Cricetulus griseus: one gene and its partners. The protein of the gene in region 3 interacts with the protein of the main gene of each other region in a biochemical or structural test. Links are inferred from orthologs where the notes say so. Each region holds a gene or a part of one and is shown on either strand. Other genes may lie near its edges. The genes, in order: Kpnb1, Nup88, Nup98 and Nup155.

The links.
Region 1: the proteins of Nup98 (region 3) and Kpnb1 form a complex in vitro, tested with the Homo sapiens proteins (3 studies listed by BioGRID). The link is inferred for Cricetulus griseus from reciprocal best matches to the Homo sapiens genes NUP98 and KPNB1.
Region 2: the proteins of Nup98 (region 3) and Nup88 form a complex in vitro, tested with the Homo sapiens proteins (2 studies listed by BioGRID). The link is inferred for Cricetulus griseus from reciprocal best matches to the Homo sapiens genes NUP98 and NUP88.
Region 4: the proteins of Nup98 (region 3) and Nup155 form a complex in vitro, tested with the Homo sapiens proteins (2 studies listed by BioGRID). The link is inferred for Cricetulus griseus from reciprocal best matches to the Homo sapiens genes NUP98 and NUP155.

The regions. Positions count from the first base shown.
Region 1 is NC_048600.1:110,314,716-110,318,280, reverse strand, and holds part of Kpnb1 (importin subunit beta-1), read left to right. Parts: intron 1-160; coding exon 161-232; intron 233-788; coding exon 789-933; intron 934-2,797; coding exon 2,798-2,880; intron 2,881-3,435; coding exon 3,436-3,543; intron 3,544-3,565.
Region 2 is NC_048600.1:84,763,214-84,766,778, reverse strand, and holds part of Nup88 (nuclear pore complex protein Nup88), read left to right. Parts: intron 1-1,350; coding exon 1,351-1,537; intron 1,538-2,136; coding exon 2,137-2,284; intron 2,285-3,565. UniProt on the Homo sapiens protein: Component of nuclear pore complex.
Region 3 is NC_048596.1:97,176,082-97,180,222, forward strand, and holds the start of Nup98 (nuclear pore complex protein Nup98-Nup96), read left to right. Parts: upstream 1-1,298; 5' UTR 1,299-1,437; intron 1,438-1,528; exon of another isoform or gene 1,529-1,675; intron 1,676-4,141. UniProt on the Homo sapiens protein: Plays a role in the nuclear pore complex (NPC) assembly and/or maintenance. NUP98 and NUP96 are involved in the bidirectional transport across the NPC. May anchor NUP153 and TPR to the NPC.
Region 4 is NC_048595.1:341,864,889-341,869,157, reverse strand, and holds the end of Nup155 (nuclear pore complex protein Nup155), read right to left. Parts: intron 3,428-4,269; coding exon 3,291-3,427; intron 1,788-3,290; coding exon 1,681-1,787; intron 726-1,680; coding exon 587-725; 3' UTR 514-586; downstream 1-513.

The DNA of each region.
Region 1 (3,565 bases), on a different chromosome or scaffold from region 3:
CCTTAAGCTCAGTCTCCAGAACCCAAAAGGCTTGCAGCTTACTTTCTGCTTTGCTTGCCTCTGCTTTCTGGTGGTTATGCTCACTGTTAGCATTCCAGAGGCCTGGTCATTGCTTCAAGTAGAAAATTTCCGTTACACATGATTTCCTTTTTTCTTTCAGTCCCATATCCAGAGCACATCAGATAGAATCCAGTTCAATGACCTTCAGTCTCTACTCTGCGCTACTCTTCAGGTACAATGGTGCCACCTCTCATTGTTTGTCTCTTTTGGCGGGGGGTGGGAGGGTGTTCTGTGCATAAAGTGCCTAAGAAGGCCGAAAGGGATGTTGGGTCTCTTCATATTGGAGTTACAGATGGTTGTAAGCTGTCGTGTGGGTGCAGGGGATCGAAAACCAGGTCTTGTGGAATACCAGCCATTGCTCTTAACAACTGAGCCTTTCAAATCTCTAGTAGGGCTGGGGTGTAGAGGGTAATGGTTCTGTCTGACAGGCAGATGCGGTGATGTTGTGTATCATAGGACTTTTTTCTGTGTGTGTGTGTGTGTGTGTGTGTGTGTGTGTGTGTGTGTGTGTGTGTGTGTGTGTGTGTTTCCAGTGAATTGAGAAATAGAAGAGATCATTGAAATGAATGTTTGATTAAAGATGATTTGCTGTGTCAGAATTCTTAAGGAAAATGTATTGCTTTTGCAAAAAGGGGGGAGGGGCAGGGGCTCTTTTTCAGAAAGGTGTATTTATGTCCTGATTGGTGGATTTAGAATTAACAGATCTTGAAATCTTGTTCATTTTACAGAATGTACTCCGGAAAGTCCAGCATCAAGATGCTCTGCAGATCTCTGATGTGGTCATGGCCTCCCTGTTGCGGATGTTCCAAAGCACAGCTGGGTCTGGGGGAGTGCAGGAAGATGCCCTGATGGCAGTTAGCACGCTGGTGGAAGGTGAGAGAGCAGCCAACCCCAGGCTCTGTACCCGCAGAGGGCAGGAGAAAGTGACTACATCACTGCCTTCCTGCCAGCCTCCATAAAGTAATGGCCAGCTAGTTTTAGCATCTACGTCAGAATGGCAGCCTTCCAGGGGTAGTTAGTGCTCATCAAAGGGTCTGTCAGGTTCCTTCTTCCCTTGAAAATCAATTTGCTTTATTAAGGGTTTCTCTTGTTTAAGGATAGAAGAAACAAGAAAGGTTCTGGTTCCATTCCTGCTTTTGGCACCGTCAGGTCTGGATTACAATGCTTTGGGCTTGAATAGATTGTAGGGCTTAGTGTCCTATGGAATAAACTATTGCCCGAGTTTTAGGAATTGATTGACTTCTATTGTACGTATGTATATCTAACTATACAAAATTGCTTTGAAAAACAGTATTCAGACTTATTTTTTAAGGGCACTTAAAGCATTTAAGAGCACATTGGAACTCTAGAATGCTTCATCAGAGGTGACCTTTAAATATATTAATAAGGCCATTATTTAAAGACCACTGTTGTGAGGACCAGTCCTATTTCTGGAATAAAGAGCCTGTGTCCAAAACCAGGTGAGATAGTAGATGCCTGTAGTTATACACTCTAAAGGCAGAGATAGGAGAATTTAGTTAGAGCCCAGCGTATGATACATAGTGAGTCGCCTCTGGGTAAAGAACTAAAGGATGCTAAGGATATATAGCTCAGTTGGCAGAGTATTTGTTTAAAGAGTAGGTAGCTCTGGGTGCCCCCAAAACAACATAAACTGCATAAACACACCTGTTCCTCTAGCTCTCAGGTAGTGCTGGCAGGAGGATCAGGAGCTCAGCATTACCCTCTGCTATACTGGGCATGCCTAGGATGCAGGAATCTTGGTGGGGCAGAGTTGGGGGAGCGCACACCTGTATGTTTGGTAAGCTGAGACAAGCTTTCGAGTTCTGAGGACACCTCAGCTATAGAGTGAGACCCTTGTACTAAGATAACAAAAGCAGGGCCTAGAAAGGTGTCTCAGAGTATTTGTTGCTCTTTCAGAGAACCAGAGTTTGGGTCCTAGCACCCATGTGAGGTGGCTTACAAACAACTGTTACTTCCTCTTCTAGCTTCTGCCAGCCAATGCACACACATAATATTTACAACATAAATAAGTAAAATTGATTAAGTAAATTAAAAGTATGGGGCTGGAGAGATGGCTCAGAGGTTAAGAGCACTGGCTGCTCTTCCAGAGGTCCTGATGAGTTCAATTCCCAGCAACCACATGGTAGCTCACAACCATTTGTTATGAGATCTGGTGCCCTCTTCTGGTGTGCAGATATACATGGAAGCAGAATGTTGTATACATAATAAATAAAATCTTAAAAAAAAAAATTAAAAGTATGACTCCTAAAATGATGGGAGTGTGGTGAGTAAGGCCATTCCAGCTGCTGTGCTCTGCAGTTCTGTCTGCCTTTCTCCATTCTTGCTGCTAAGAATTGAGCCTAGGGCCTTGCTCTACCACTGAGCCGCACCCCTGTCTTTCTGTTGTTTTTCCTGGCTGTGACTTGTTAAGGCCTTGCTTTGATCGACTAGGAAACCTTGTTTTCAAATTGGCTTCCCAGAGAGGAGGGGACATGAAGCAGCATTGCTAAGTCAATTAAAAATTATTCTTTCCTTGAAGTCCCTGCTACTTTACTTTGTTAGAGGAGCCTTGGCATTCTCCATGCGACATGTGAATTTGACCCTTCAAACAGAAAGCTTGAATGTCTTCATGATATAAATACTAATCAACACATATTCTGCCCAAAATGTTTGGGTTACTTGGTTCATGTAGTGCCCTTTGTTGCTGGGATTAGCTAATAGTTTGTTTCATTAACAGTATTGGGTGGTGAATTCCTCAAGTACATGGAGGCCTTTAAACCATTCCTGGGCATTGGATTGAAAAATTATGCTGAGTACCAGGTAGGATATGCTTTTCAAAATAGTGTCTTTGGTTTTCGTTTGTTTTCACATTGCTGAGAATCAGACTTTTGTAGCCTGTTGTATGCTAATGCTAGGTAAACACTTAACTAAACCATGAGCTCCATCCCAGTCCTCAAAATCATATGCTCTCATGAATGCAGCATGTAAGAGTAGTACAGGTGGAATCAGACTTCTGCAGCCTTAGCGTCTGCACTGGAGGTGCTCTGTGAAAAGAAGGATATTGGATCTGCCAGATAGAGATCACAGGTTGACTGCCTGAACAGTCCTAATTAAAGGGCAGCTGCCAAGTTACGTCACCACTGCCCTAAAGAGCAGCACTGTTTCCCATGTTCTGCACCATCATCCTTTCCTACTGATAACTCAGACAGCCCTGGTTCTCTTGCTAAATCTGGCTAAAATTCCATAATCTCCGCAAGGGAAGGATATGTTCTTTGATTCTGGTTCAAGTGAGGGACCGCTGACTAGGTAAAAGGAATACTGTACTCTGCTGGAAGCCTTTTCTTTTTGGGAAATCATTTCCTTGATTCTTTGCAGGTGTGTTTGGCAGCTGTTGGCTTAGTTGGAGACTTGTGCCGAGCCCTGCAGTCTAACATTTTACCTTTCTGTGATGAAGTCATGCAGCTGCTCCTGGAGAACTTGGGGGTGAGCATTTTGTTTTCTAATT
Region 2 (3,565 bases), on a different chromosome or scaffold from region 3:
TTCCATGGAAATTTGATGGAGTTACATTCCTAGGTAATGAACATGCTGAGGTCTGTTCTGGAAAATAGGGTGGTTTCTGAGCAGAGTAGGACAGGGAGAACTGAAGTTGTACAATTTTCTATCTGATATACTCAGGGTTTTGTTTTTTTAATTGGAGTTTTGCCTTTTTGTTGTTGGGGGTTTTTTGTTTTGTTTTGTTCAGGGCTCAGGTTCACCCTTTGAGCCCAGAAAACAAGAGAGAAAAATGAGAACAACACTTAGGAAGGACTCTTTCAGAGAAGTAGAGAACACTACCAGAAAATAAGTTGTTAGAAGTGTTAACAGTGTTCAGCCACCAGGTGGTGCAAGTCTTTCATGCCCACACTTGGGAGTCAGAGGCAGGCAGATTTTGTGAGTTTGAGGCCAGCCTGGCCTGTATAGTGAGTTCAAGGACAGCAAAGACTTTTTGAATGGACTCTGTCTCAAGAAAACAAAAGAATGTCAGGCAGCAACAGTTGTTAACCAGTGATAATATAGCACGTCTAGTTGGATTCAGCAACTAGAATCATGGGGGAATCTTTGCTAGAATACTGTCTGTCAGTGGAGAGTTAAAAATGGAAACCAGGCTAGATGTGGTGGTACATGCCAATAATTTTAGCACACAACCGTTCTGAGTTTGAGGCTAGTCTGGGCTGTGTAATGGACCTTGTCTTTTTTTTTTTAAGATTTATTTTTATTTGATATGTATGCGTTTTTGCTTACATATATGTATGTGTACAATTTGTATGCAGAGGTCAGAAGTGTACATCACATTCCCTACAACTGGAGCTAGACATTCATAAGCCACCATATGGGTTCTGGGAATCTAACTCAGGTCCTCTGCAAGAGTAGCCAGTGCTGAACCATCAGTCTAGCCCTTTGTCTCATTTTTTTCTGGTGGCTGTAGTGATTTCTGAGGATGAAACCTCTGATCTTACCACCACCAACAGATGCCAGGCATGCCCCTGAACCTCATGGTGTAACAGTCTACAGTGTCTTCAAAGACACAGTAGCATTCTCCTAGAATCCTAGCTCTGGAAACTATGATAGGAGGATCAATAATTAAAGGCAACCTAGATTAGATAGGACTTTGTCTGGAAGGAATAAAGAAACCAAACAAAACAAAACCCTGGAATCTCTTCAGGCACTGCTGCTTTCCTTTCAAAGGGAAAATTAGATCAAGAATCACTATTGTTGGGATGTGAGTGGGAAAATAAAGAATAAAGACCTCTTTTTGAAGTTACAGTAACTGAAGGGAGACAAAAATCGAAGAGTAGGGGGTGGTTGTCTTCTGTCAATATTTTTCTGATAAGGTTTTCATTCTTCCTTTAGCCCTGGGAATATTGGGAAGCTGTTGGGACCATTGCCTATGCACCCTGCAGCTGAAGATAACTACGGTTACGATGCCTGTGCTGTACTCTGTTTGCCCTGTGTTCCCAATATCTTAGTAATTGCGACTGAGTCAGGAATGCTGTATCACTGTGTTGTACTAGAGGGTGAAGAAGAAGATGATCAAACAGTAAGTGCCAGGCTAATGTTACTATAGTTCGTATCTTTAATAGCAGGTGTATTTTATGGGCCAGTTTGAATGCTTAATATGAAGAATTCTAGCTTACACATGGCATTTCTGGAAACTATATATTTTATATAAGAATAATTAAAGCATAATTAAGAGTCCAAGTGGAAAGAAGTTAAAAGATCGCCCAATTTACCAGTCCATGAAATGTATTTGTTTCTGATCTTTGTATTAAGGGTTTCACACCCTGAAGCAGTAAATTGAATCTTCCAAACAGAAGTCTGCTCTTAGGGCTGGAGAGATGGCTCAGTGGTTATGCTCACTGGCTGCTCTTCGAGAAGATCCAGGTTCAGTTCCTAACACCCATGGTGGCTCACAACTGTTTATAACTCCAGTCCCAGGGGATCCAGCACCCTCTTCTGGCCTCTGTTGGCACCAGGAATGCAAGTAGTGCACAGACATAGTTGTAGGTAAAACACTTATAAACATAATGAAATAAAAGCTTGGCCCATGCTTTTTTTCATTTGTGTACATTTTCAAATTCATGAGAGGGGTTGGAATTTCAGTCCTTTTTTTTTCTTCTCCCTTTGTGTTTTTAACAGTCAGAAAAGTCCTGGGATCCCAGAGTTGACCTCATCCCTTCTCTGTATGTGTTTGAGTGTGTTGAATTAGAGCTTGCCTTGAAACTGGCATCTGGAGAGGATGATCCCTTTGCTTCTGACTTTTCCTGTCCAATTAAGCTGCACAAAGGTAAGGTATCACTAAGTGCTTTTTATCCCACTGTATTTATGCTAACTTGTAGTTTATTTGTATGATCTCAGCTTTTAGAAAGTTTATCACTGGATTCTTTTGAACTTTTAGTTATTACACAGCACATTCTTACTGAGGCAGACTCAAGTTTTAACATATCTGGATCCACTGAGATATTTAGTTTCCTTATTGTTGTGTATATGATGTTTGTGTGTATATGTCAAGTTTGGGTATTAGAGGACAGCTTTCTGGATGATTCTTTCCACTTTACATGGATTCTAGGGATCATGCTTGCGTGGTGGTCACTTTACCCATTGAAACCACACTACTGGTGTCTCCCAGATGTTTGGTGACCTTCCCCCCACACACACACAAAAGTTGATTTCATAACCTGGCATAATGGTAATTCCTATAATCTCAACACTCAGAAGCAACCACATGATGGCTCACAACCATCTGTAATGAGATCTGGTGCCCTCTTCTGGTGTAAAGCATGCATGCAGGCAAAACACTATACATAATAAATAAATCTTAAAAAAGAAAAGAAAATTCACTAGGTATGTCTCATTTCTGTTTTGAGCAGTATAAACATTAAGTCTAAAAACTTGATAGATGAACACATAGTGAGGTAAAATGATATAAGGTATTATTTGGTTTCCTTATAAAGATAAGTTACTGTTGTATTGCTGTGAAGACACCATGACCAAGGCAGCTCTTACAAAAGGAAGCATTTAATTGTGGACTTGCTTACAGTTCTAGAGGATTAGTCTATTATCATTAAGGCAGAAAACAAAACAGGCATGGTACCTTATATATAAAGAGAATTAGAGTGGTATATAGGCTGTGGTTCAACTAGTCCAACAGTGGCTGTATCCCAGTGGGAAGTCCAAAACCCAGAAGTTGTTCATTCCATGAGGCTGGATAGCTCAGTTGGTCTTCAGTGTATGTCCCAAAGAAGTAAGCTTTCTAATGTCAGCGAAGCAAGAGTGATGGCAAGCAGGCAAAAACTGTTTAGCGTATTGCTCAGGCGTAATACTATCTAGCTCTTACAACTTAAATTAATCCATAATTATTATTTATATTTAGCCACGTAACTTGGTACCTTTTCTCAGTAAGGCATTCTCATCTTGCCTCCTCTGCGCCAAGCTGGCAACTGGAACTGGAGTTAAAAGGTATTGTGAGCCACACAGTCACAGTGTGAGTGCTGGGAACCTCTGAGAAAGCAGTGCATACTCTAAACTGATAAAATGGACTAGGAAAATGGGTTAATTTCTTAGAAAA
Region 3 (4,141 bases):
CACAGTCCTGCTCCTCTGTGAGACCTCAATAACGAGACAGGTCTGATTTCTAGAACATGCCCACTCCTCTGCTCTTAGCTAGATCCCAGGAGGAAACAGACACCAAAAGGATGAAAACGCAACTTTGACCAACACCAGGGGAGGGAGGAGTCTAAGAATAGAAAAATAAGATACAAAGTAACAAGTCCTGATAAGAGGACCGCCCAGGCATCACCCCAACTTGTTGAGGTTAGCAAATGCGTCCTGGAGAAGGCAGTACATTTGCACCCAATCCATCCAGAACAGCACAGGTTCTGAAGCTGCAGCTGAAGCAGAACCCTCATTGGGATCAAGCCTTATAATAGACCATTGCTCAGATCTACCTTAGAGATTCAGAGGAAAGGATGTGAGAAGACTTGCTTGGACCGGCAAGAACAACAGTGGGGACTGAGGGTCTCTGAAGGGCTGCTGATAAGCCACATGGATTGATAGGTATCCCAAAAGGGTTTTCAAGCTCCGAAAGTGCCAGCTGGGTGGCCTGAGAGCCTGCCCATCATTACCCGCAGACTTGAACTAAAGAAGGGTAGAACAGTTACCATGTCATCCTTGGGCCTTCCCTCTGATTGGCCGGAGCTTCCGTAGCCCGAGTCTCCGCGCTCCAAGGAAAGGGGCGGGGTCTCGGCACAACGTCACCGCTTTTTGGTGCTCACTATTCTAGCCACTCCCCAGCCCTCTTCGAGGGGCCGTGTGTGACGTCGCGAGTCTCTATCAGCCAACCGTCGCGGCAAAAGGGGTGGGACTCCAGGTCCCTCCCCACCATCCCTCTTTTTTTTTTTTTTTCTCCCCACCCAATTCCTCACGCCCCTCCTCTTCCCCTCTACTCCTTCTCAGAGACCGCCTTCACGTTCGGTTTCAAAAGGCTCGTCGCCCAATGAGTAACACGGTAGGCCTCGAGTGGCGGAACGGCCTGCCAATGCCCGGCTGGCGAGGGCGGAACGCCCGGGGCTGGCCTCTGACGGCGGACGGCGTGTGACGCAGTCGGGCCTCTGCGCGCTGCGCCCGAAGCGGCGGTCGGTGGCGGCGGCGGCCTCGGCGGCGGCGACGGTTTCCTGGTGGCCGCGCGCTGCTCTGTGAGCGGCGGGTGGCAGACGGACCTGGGCCCTCACCCCAGACGCACCGCGGTAAGTCGGGAGTGCTGCTGGGGCCGGGCGGGCGGGTCCTCTTCTTTGGACCGGCATCTGCGCGGGACGCCCCGGGCCCTCAGCCTCCCAGTCTCGTGCGGGGCGCGCTCCTTCGGGCCTGCGTGAGGGGGCGGGGCCCGCGGCCCTGCGGCTTGGCTCGGGAGGCCCTGGGAGGGAGTCCACACGCGTGGGGCGTAGGCCAGGGGGCCTCGGGTGGCAGCCCACGCTGAGGGAACCTCGTTGTCTCCGGTGCTACTCATTCATTCGCTGGGTAGAGGTGAGCAGCCCGCGGTAGGCTGGCCCTTGCGGGGATGGTGCCTTGGGGACTCAGTGAGGTCCCCCCCCCCATCACTTCTTTGACCACTCTACAGTACGCGTCTTGTCTAGGGTTAACCAGAGGGTTGAGTGAGTCGGAAGTGCGTTAGCTTTTTAAGACATTGTCTGGCGATTGGAGGGGTCTGGTCAACCGAATGAAAGGTTCTTTTCTGTTCTGCCGCATGTTCGTGTAAACCGAGGTGAGAAAGATTGGATTCTTGAATTACTGTAGCCATAGCGTTTAAGACATTCTATGTCAATGCCCCCATTCTGCATCACGTGCAGAGGTTTTGTAAGGTGGGAGAGGACTCAGTAATGGCAGATGTCTTGACTCAAGCCTAGAATTTTTATACTATTCCACCCTCCCTGTATGTTCCAGTCTCTCATTATTGGCTGTTCTGTATTTGGTAGGGGGAAGGAAACGGACATTTGACATAGTGTTCAAAACATTTCCATTTAGGTGCTACCATTTTTGCTTATATAGTAAGATAATAGAACTTTATTAGTATTACCTCGATGTAAACTTTTGGGGAGCTCGGGGAGACAAGATCTCATTCAAATCCTGGTTGATCTGGAATTCACTATGTAGGTTTGCCACGAAACCAAAGAAACCACTTGCCTCTACCTCCTCGGTGCTGGGATTAAAGGTCTTTGCCATTACAACCAGCCCTAACCTAGACTTTTGAGAACTAAACTTTAAAAATAGTTCAAGAGGCAGGCTTAGTGATGCACGCCTTTCATCCCAATACTTGAGAGGCAAAGGCAGGCGGCTCTCTCTGAGTTCAAGGCTAGCCTACTCTACATACTGAGTTCCAGGACAGCCAGAGCTGCACATAGAGACACTGCCCAAAAAAACCCAGGCGTTGGGGGTGAGTAAACCCAATATAGGGGCTGCTGGAGAGACCCCTCAGCAGTTATGAACACTGACTGCTCTTCCAGAGGAGCTGTGTCAATTCCCAGCACCCACATGGCAGCTGTCTGTGACTCCCAAGTTCTGACACCCTCACATAGACATAGATGAAGGCAAAACATCAATTCATATAAAACAAAAATAATTTTTTTTTTTTTTTTTTTTGGTTTTTCGAGACACGGTTTCTCTGTATAGCTTTGGAGCCTATCCTGGCACGCTCTGGAGACCAGGCTGGCCTCAAATTCACAGAGATCTGCCTGCCTCTGCCTCCCAAGTGCTGGAATTAAAGGTGTGCGCCACCAACGCCCAGCTTAAATTATTTTTAAAAAGTCAATATAGATGTGGTGTTGCAAGCCTGTAGTGTCACCAGTAATGGAAGTTGAGGGTGGAGAACTAGAGCCCAGGAGTTTGAAGCCAGCCTGGACAACATAGAAGATCCATCTCATTTAAGAATTGTGGAGGGCAGCCAGGCGTTGGTGGCTCACGCCTTTAATCCCAGCACTCGGGAGGCTAGAGGCAGGCAGATCTCTGTGAGTTCAAGGCCAAGCCTGGTCTACAAAGCTACACAGAGAAACCCCACCTCGAAAAACAAAACAACAACAAAAAGGATTTCACGAAATTAGTTGTCAGTTTGATTTGAACATACTTATCAGCTTGTAGATTTGATGTTTATATAAACAGTAAAACCTAAAAGCAAGTAATTCAAGAGAACAGAGGAGTTCTGTGGTATAAATATTAAAAGTTGTGACCTGGTGTTTTTTTGTACTATTTTATCTGTTTGGACATCACAACCTGGGAAACTTTTCCTGGTATGCTTTCCTATGTAAGCTTTCACACACTTCCTTACTGATACTTCTGCTTGTAGCACACATTTTATATTTCAAGTGTTTGTCTTTTTATTAGGTTATGATAAAATTTATATTTTTTGGTCTTTCTGAATGTCCTTAAACCCAGCACTTCATGCTGGACGGTAGTGGCGCACGCCTTTAATACCAGCACTCGGGAGGCAGAGGCAGGCTGTCTCTGTGAGTTCGAGACCAGCCTGCTCTACAAGAGCGAGCTCCAGGACAGCCTCCAAAGCCACAGAGAAACCCTGTCTCAAAAACAAACAAACAAATAAAACCCCATCACTTCAGAGGCAGAGGTATGTGGCTCTCTGGCTTTTTGTTCAGTCTGGTTTGTAAAGCAAGTTCCAGGCCAGTCAGGACTACAATATGAGACTCTGCCTCAAACATAAAATAACATGTATATTAATTTGTATTTAGGTTACATGGCTCATCGGCCTCAGTTATATTTTTGTGAATGAATAAATACAGAAAAATTAAACTGAAAAATATTCCAGAAAAAAGGCTAGATATTTGTGTACTTCTGAAATACTTTTTTTTTTTCTTTCTTTCTTTTTTTTTTGTAGCCACTAGCTCCTAGGTATCTAAGAATAACTAAACTTTTACAGCACGCACCAAATTCACAGATTAGGAAAGTAAGTTATTTATTGTCATATTACTGTGTACTAGCAGTCTAGGACATAGAGTATTGTAATATTGATTAATTTCTAGTAAGAGACTTTGTAAAATTCTGAGATTATTATAATCTGTAAATCAATGAGTATGGTGGCATGTGCTTTTAATCTCAGCACTGGGGAGGCAGAGGCAGGTGGATCTCTGAGTTTGAGGCAAGCCTGATTTACAAAATGAGTTCCAGGACAGCCAGAGTTGTTACACAGAGAAATCCCAATCACACACACAAGAAAACAAAA
Region 4 (4,269 bases), on a different chromosome or scaffold from region 3:
GAGACAAGGTTTCACTATGTAGCCCTAGCTGGCCTGGAACTCTGAGAGTTCCAGAAATCTGCCTGCCATTGCCTCCCCAAATGCTGTATTTAAAGTGTGCCATTACACCTGGCATTGCCTAGAAATTATGATACTAGATAAACATGAAGTAATATAAATTCAAAATTGGTGCCAGTAGTAAAATTTAAAATAAGAACATTATCTTTGTGTGTCAGAATCATACATAATCTTATTTCAGGTTTCTGCAAAATGATGTTGTTTGTGTGTGGTGCTGGGAACTGAATCAAGGGTATTTTACATTTTACTACACAAACATTTTACCACTGAGCTACATACCTGGATCCAACTAATCAAAAAAAAAAAAAAAAAAAAAAAAAAAAAAAAAAAAAAAAAAAAAAAAAAAAAAAAAAAAAAAAAGCTAGTCATAAAAAATTCATTTGGCAAATGTACTATTTGTAGCTAACAATCACTTATTAAAATCAAATTTCTACCAAAATTCTTAGATATACAACATCTGTTTTCTGGACCCAGCTGAGCTTTTTTATTTTACAGACCAAAATGCAAGAAAGAAAATATATTACAATAATTAATGAAGCCGTTCCAACTTTGCTTGGAGAGATTTAAAATTCCCAGTGATGGCTTGTACTGCTACTGAAGAACTCATTGACTGGAGTTCAACCAGATAACCACAAACAGCATCCAGACAGAGATTTGTAAATCTTCTCCTGGAAAGGGAAAGACATCAGGTCACCCATTTGCTTTCTTCTTGAAGATTCATTCATTCATTCATTTTTTATATGTATCAGTGCTTTTGCTGGCATGTATGTATGTGTACCATGCACATGTCCCATACTCTTGGAGGCTAGAAGAGGACATCAGAGCCCCTGCAAATGTCATTATGAATGGTTGTGAACTGTTATGGGGTTGCTGGAACTTGTACTCAGGAAGTCCGAAAAAGCAGAAAGTGCTCTTCATCACTGAGCCCTTGATTCAGAACCCCAACCATCTACACTTAAACCCATTTCCTTCAAAAGGCTGTTTCAGACCTAGTTTTGATTAACGTTCTTATAGTCCGTTGAAAAGCAAGGATTAGATAACAGTGAATGGTAAGTAGCAGGAAACAGAGAGGGGAATGTAGGTGGAGGTCAGTGTTAGCTGGAGGCATTAAAGGATGACTCCTGTTAACATTATTTACATACTTTCAGCCTTTAAAAAGACTTTCCCTTTCAATCATCCCACAAAGACATAACTGAAATGTCTTGGTCCTCATTCATAAGAAGGAGCATAAGGTAGTTTATAAATTAACTTTCAGTTTAGAAAATTTAGGGCCATGGCTGAAAACATTTCTAGTCTTTCATGAATGCAAATGCTTAGGTGATCATTAAATATGGATTGCTAATATACCCATGAAATTCTCTACTGCTTCTTTGTAATATCCAGAGTAGTGGTTCTCAACCTATAGGCAACGACCCCTTTAGGGATAGCATATTGATATTAACATTACAATTCATAACAGTACAAAATTGCAGATATGAAGTAGCCACAAAAATAATTTTATGGTGGTGGTGGTGGGGTCACCACAACCTGAGGAACTGTATTAAAGGGTCACAGCATCAGGAAGGTTGAGAAGCACAGCTCTAAGAGCATTCCATACCCACTTCATACTTGTTACCCAGGTACCTTTCACAATTTAAAACTTGGCTAGGATTCTCAACATATCTTGTCAGTAATACATGGATACAATCCAAAAGGTGCAGTGGCCTTTTCACTCTGTTCCAGAATGGATCCTATGAAGAGAAAATTTATGTATGTATACACAGACACAGTTTATATTACAACTCATCAAATATATAGGTGTGTGTATGTGTGTTTTCCTAATTATTTATATTGGATAAGGAAGTCTTTGGAATGCAAGCAAAATTTCTTTACAAAGCATTAGAAGCCGCCGATCATATGGCACATGTCCTTAATTCCAGTCTTCTGGGGGCAGATAGGCAGATCTCTTTGAGTTCAAGACTAGCCTGGTCTACATAGTAAGTTCTAGGTCAGCCAGCGCAGTGAGCCATTTTCCTTTAAATTTATGCAGTCTGATCATAGAGTAAAAGAAACTAGCAGTCACAGAACCTTAATCTGTTATGGCCCATAAGATTACAACAGGCTGCTTCCTGTCTCTATCCTTATCTTTTTGTAGTGTAAGGTGAAGGCACTACTATTTTCATTATGTCCTAATTATGAGGCTCAGTTGAGTTATTAGAAAAGCCTTGGAGAACACATTATGTGGTGTCACATTATACACCGAGGGAACTAAGGTAGAAGGATCCCAAGTTTAAGGTCAGCCTTCAAAAAACAGTGAAAGATTCAACTTTTGTACAACTACACACACGCGCGTGCACGCGCGCACGCACACACAGACACACACACACACACTATATATATATATATATATATATATATATAATATTTTTTTTTTTTTTTTTTTTTTTTTTCCTCCAACATAATGCATGTGGGATGGGGCGGCAGGGTGGGGCAGGTGGAAACACATGGAGACCAGAGAAAAGGACAGTCTAGGATGTTGTTGCTTGGCAGGTGTCCGCCTTAACTTTTTTCTTTTTCTTTTGAAGGCACAGTTAGAGGCCCCAGGATGCACCTGTCTGTGTCTCTCCAGTACTGGGATTACAAACACACCATTGCATTAGTTTTTAATATGGGTTCTGTGGATCAAACGTGGGCTAGAAGCACTTTACTTCTAGGATCTCCCTATCCTCTACATGAGATGTTTAAAAAATGAGGATACATGAGTAAATGTGCTGTTAATTTTGTTTGCTTAAAGCAAGTAAGCTGGGGATTGCAGTCTTGTGGTAGAACACTAGTCAATCATGTGCAAGACCCTAGGATAGTCCAGAAATAGCCCCTACTTTGGTTTATCTATTACGACACGAGTAAATACATACAATTATTGTTTTGTTTGTTTTGAGACAGGGTTTCTCTGTGTAACAGCTCTGGCTGTCCTAGAACTTGCTCTGTAGACCAGGCTGGCCTCAAACTCACCTGCTTCTGCCTTCCAAGCGCTGGGGTTACAGGTGTTTGTCGCCCAGCTAATTATGTTTACCCATATAAAATTAGTATTTCAAAGCAAAGCAACCCTCAGATAAGAGTCCAAAGTTTATTTTACTTGCATAATTGAAGCAAATCTCCACTGAAAACATGCAGCCTAAATGTTAAGATACCTATAAACATGTAATTGGAACACCTCACAGGAAACCCAGGGAAGATCATTTTGTTTTCTTTACCCGTGACTTGAAGAGCTGATCGTAAACTTCTAGTAGTCTAGGTAAAGGCACTCCAATTTCATTCATGGTCTGTATCACAAAACCCACATCCCAGTTTAATGTACAAACTTGCTGCTCTAAGAACAGCACAATAAAATCTGGAAAAGAAAAAAAGACAGAAATTCAGATGAGAGCTTTGCGTGTCTGTACATATGTATATCATGTGCATGCCTGGTGTCAGTGGAGGCCGGAAGAAGGCATCATGTCTCCTAGAGCTGCAGTTACTAACATTTGTGAGCATACAGGTGGATGTTAGGAACTCTTTTCAGACTCTCTGCAAGAGCAACAGGTGCTCTTACTGCTAAGCTAGAGCCCAGAAATATGGAACTCTTGACTCAGCAAACTGTTTAATTATTAAATGAGTGGTTTCTAGTGGCTATCTGAAAATGAATTTCAAGCACATTTGGGGGCCAGGAGGTAGGGTCATTTGGGAAAATGGTTCTCTTTAAAGCATCAAAACAAAGTCTAACAGCATGAAAACGAGGCAGATATAGTGATACAAGCTTGTAATCCCAGCAGTAGAGAGCCAGAAACAAGTGGATTCCTGGGGCTTGTTGAACAACCAGCTTAGCTTACTAGGAACTTACCAGGCTATCCTATCTCCAAACAAACAAAGCTAAGTAATAATTAGGGAAGTTTCCTGACCTCATATTCATGTTTATGAATGTACATAAGTGTTCTCTTTCCCTCTCCCTCTCAACAAAAAACAATAAACATATTTTGGAGCATGCTCTTTGTATATAGAATGTCTTGAGTGTAATCCCCAGGACCAAAACCCAAAAACAACCTAAAAAAAAAAAGAAAGATATATACATGCAAACTGGACACAGAAAATAAACCTGTAGTTGCCAAGGGCATAAGGGAAGAAAATAATAAGAAGTGATTAACTATTAAGTATAGGGTTCCTTTTGGGGTTAATGAAAATCTCCTAAAATTAGAT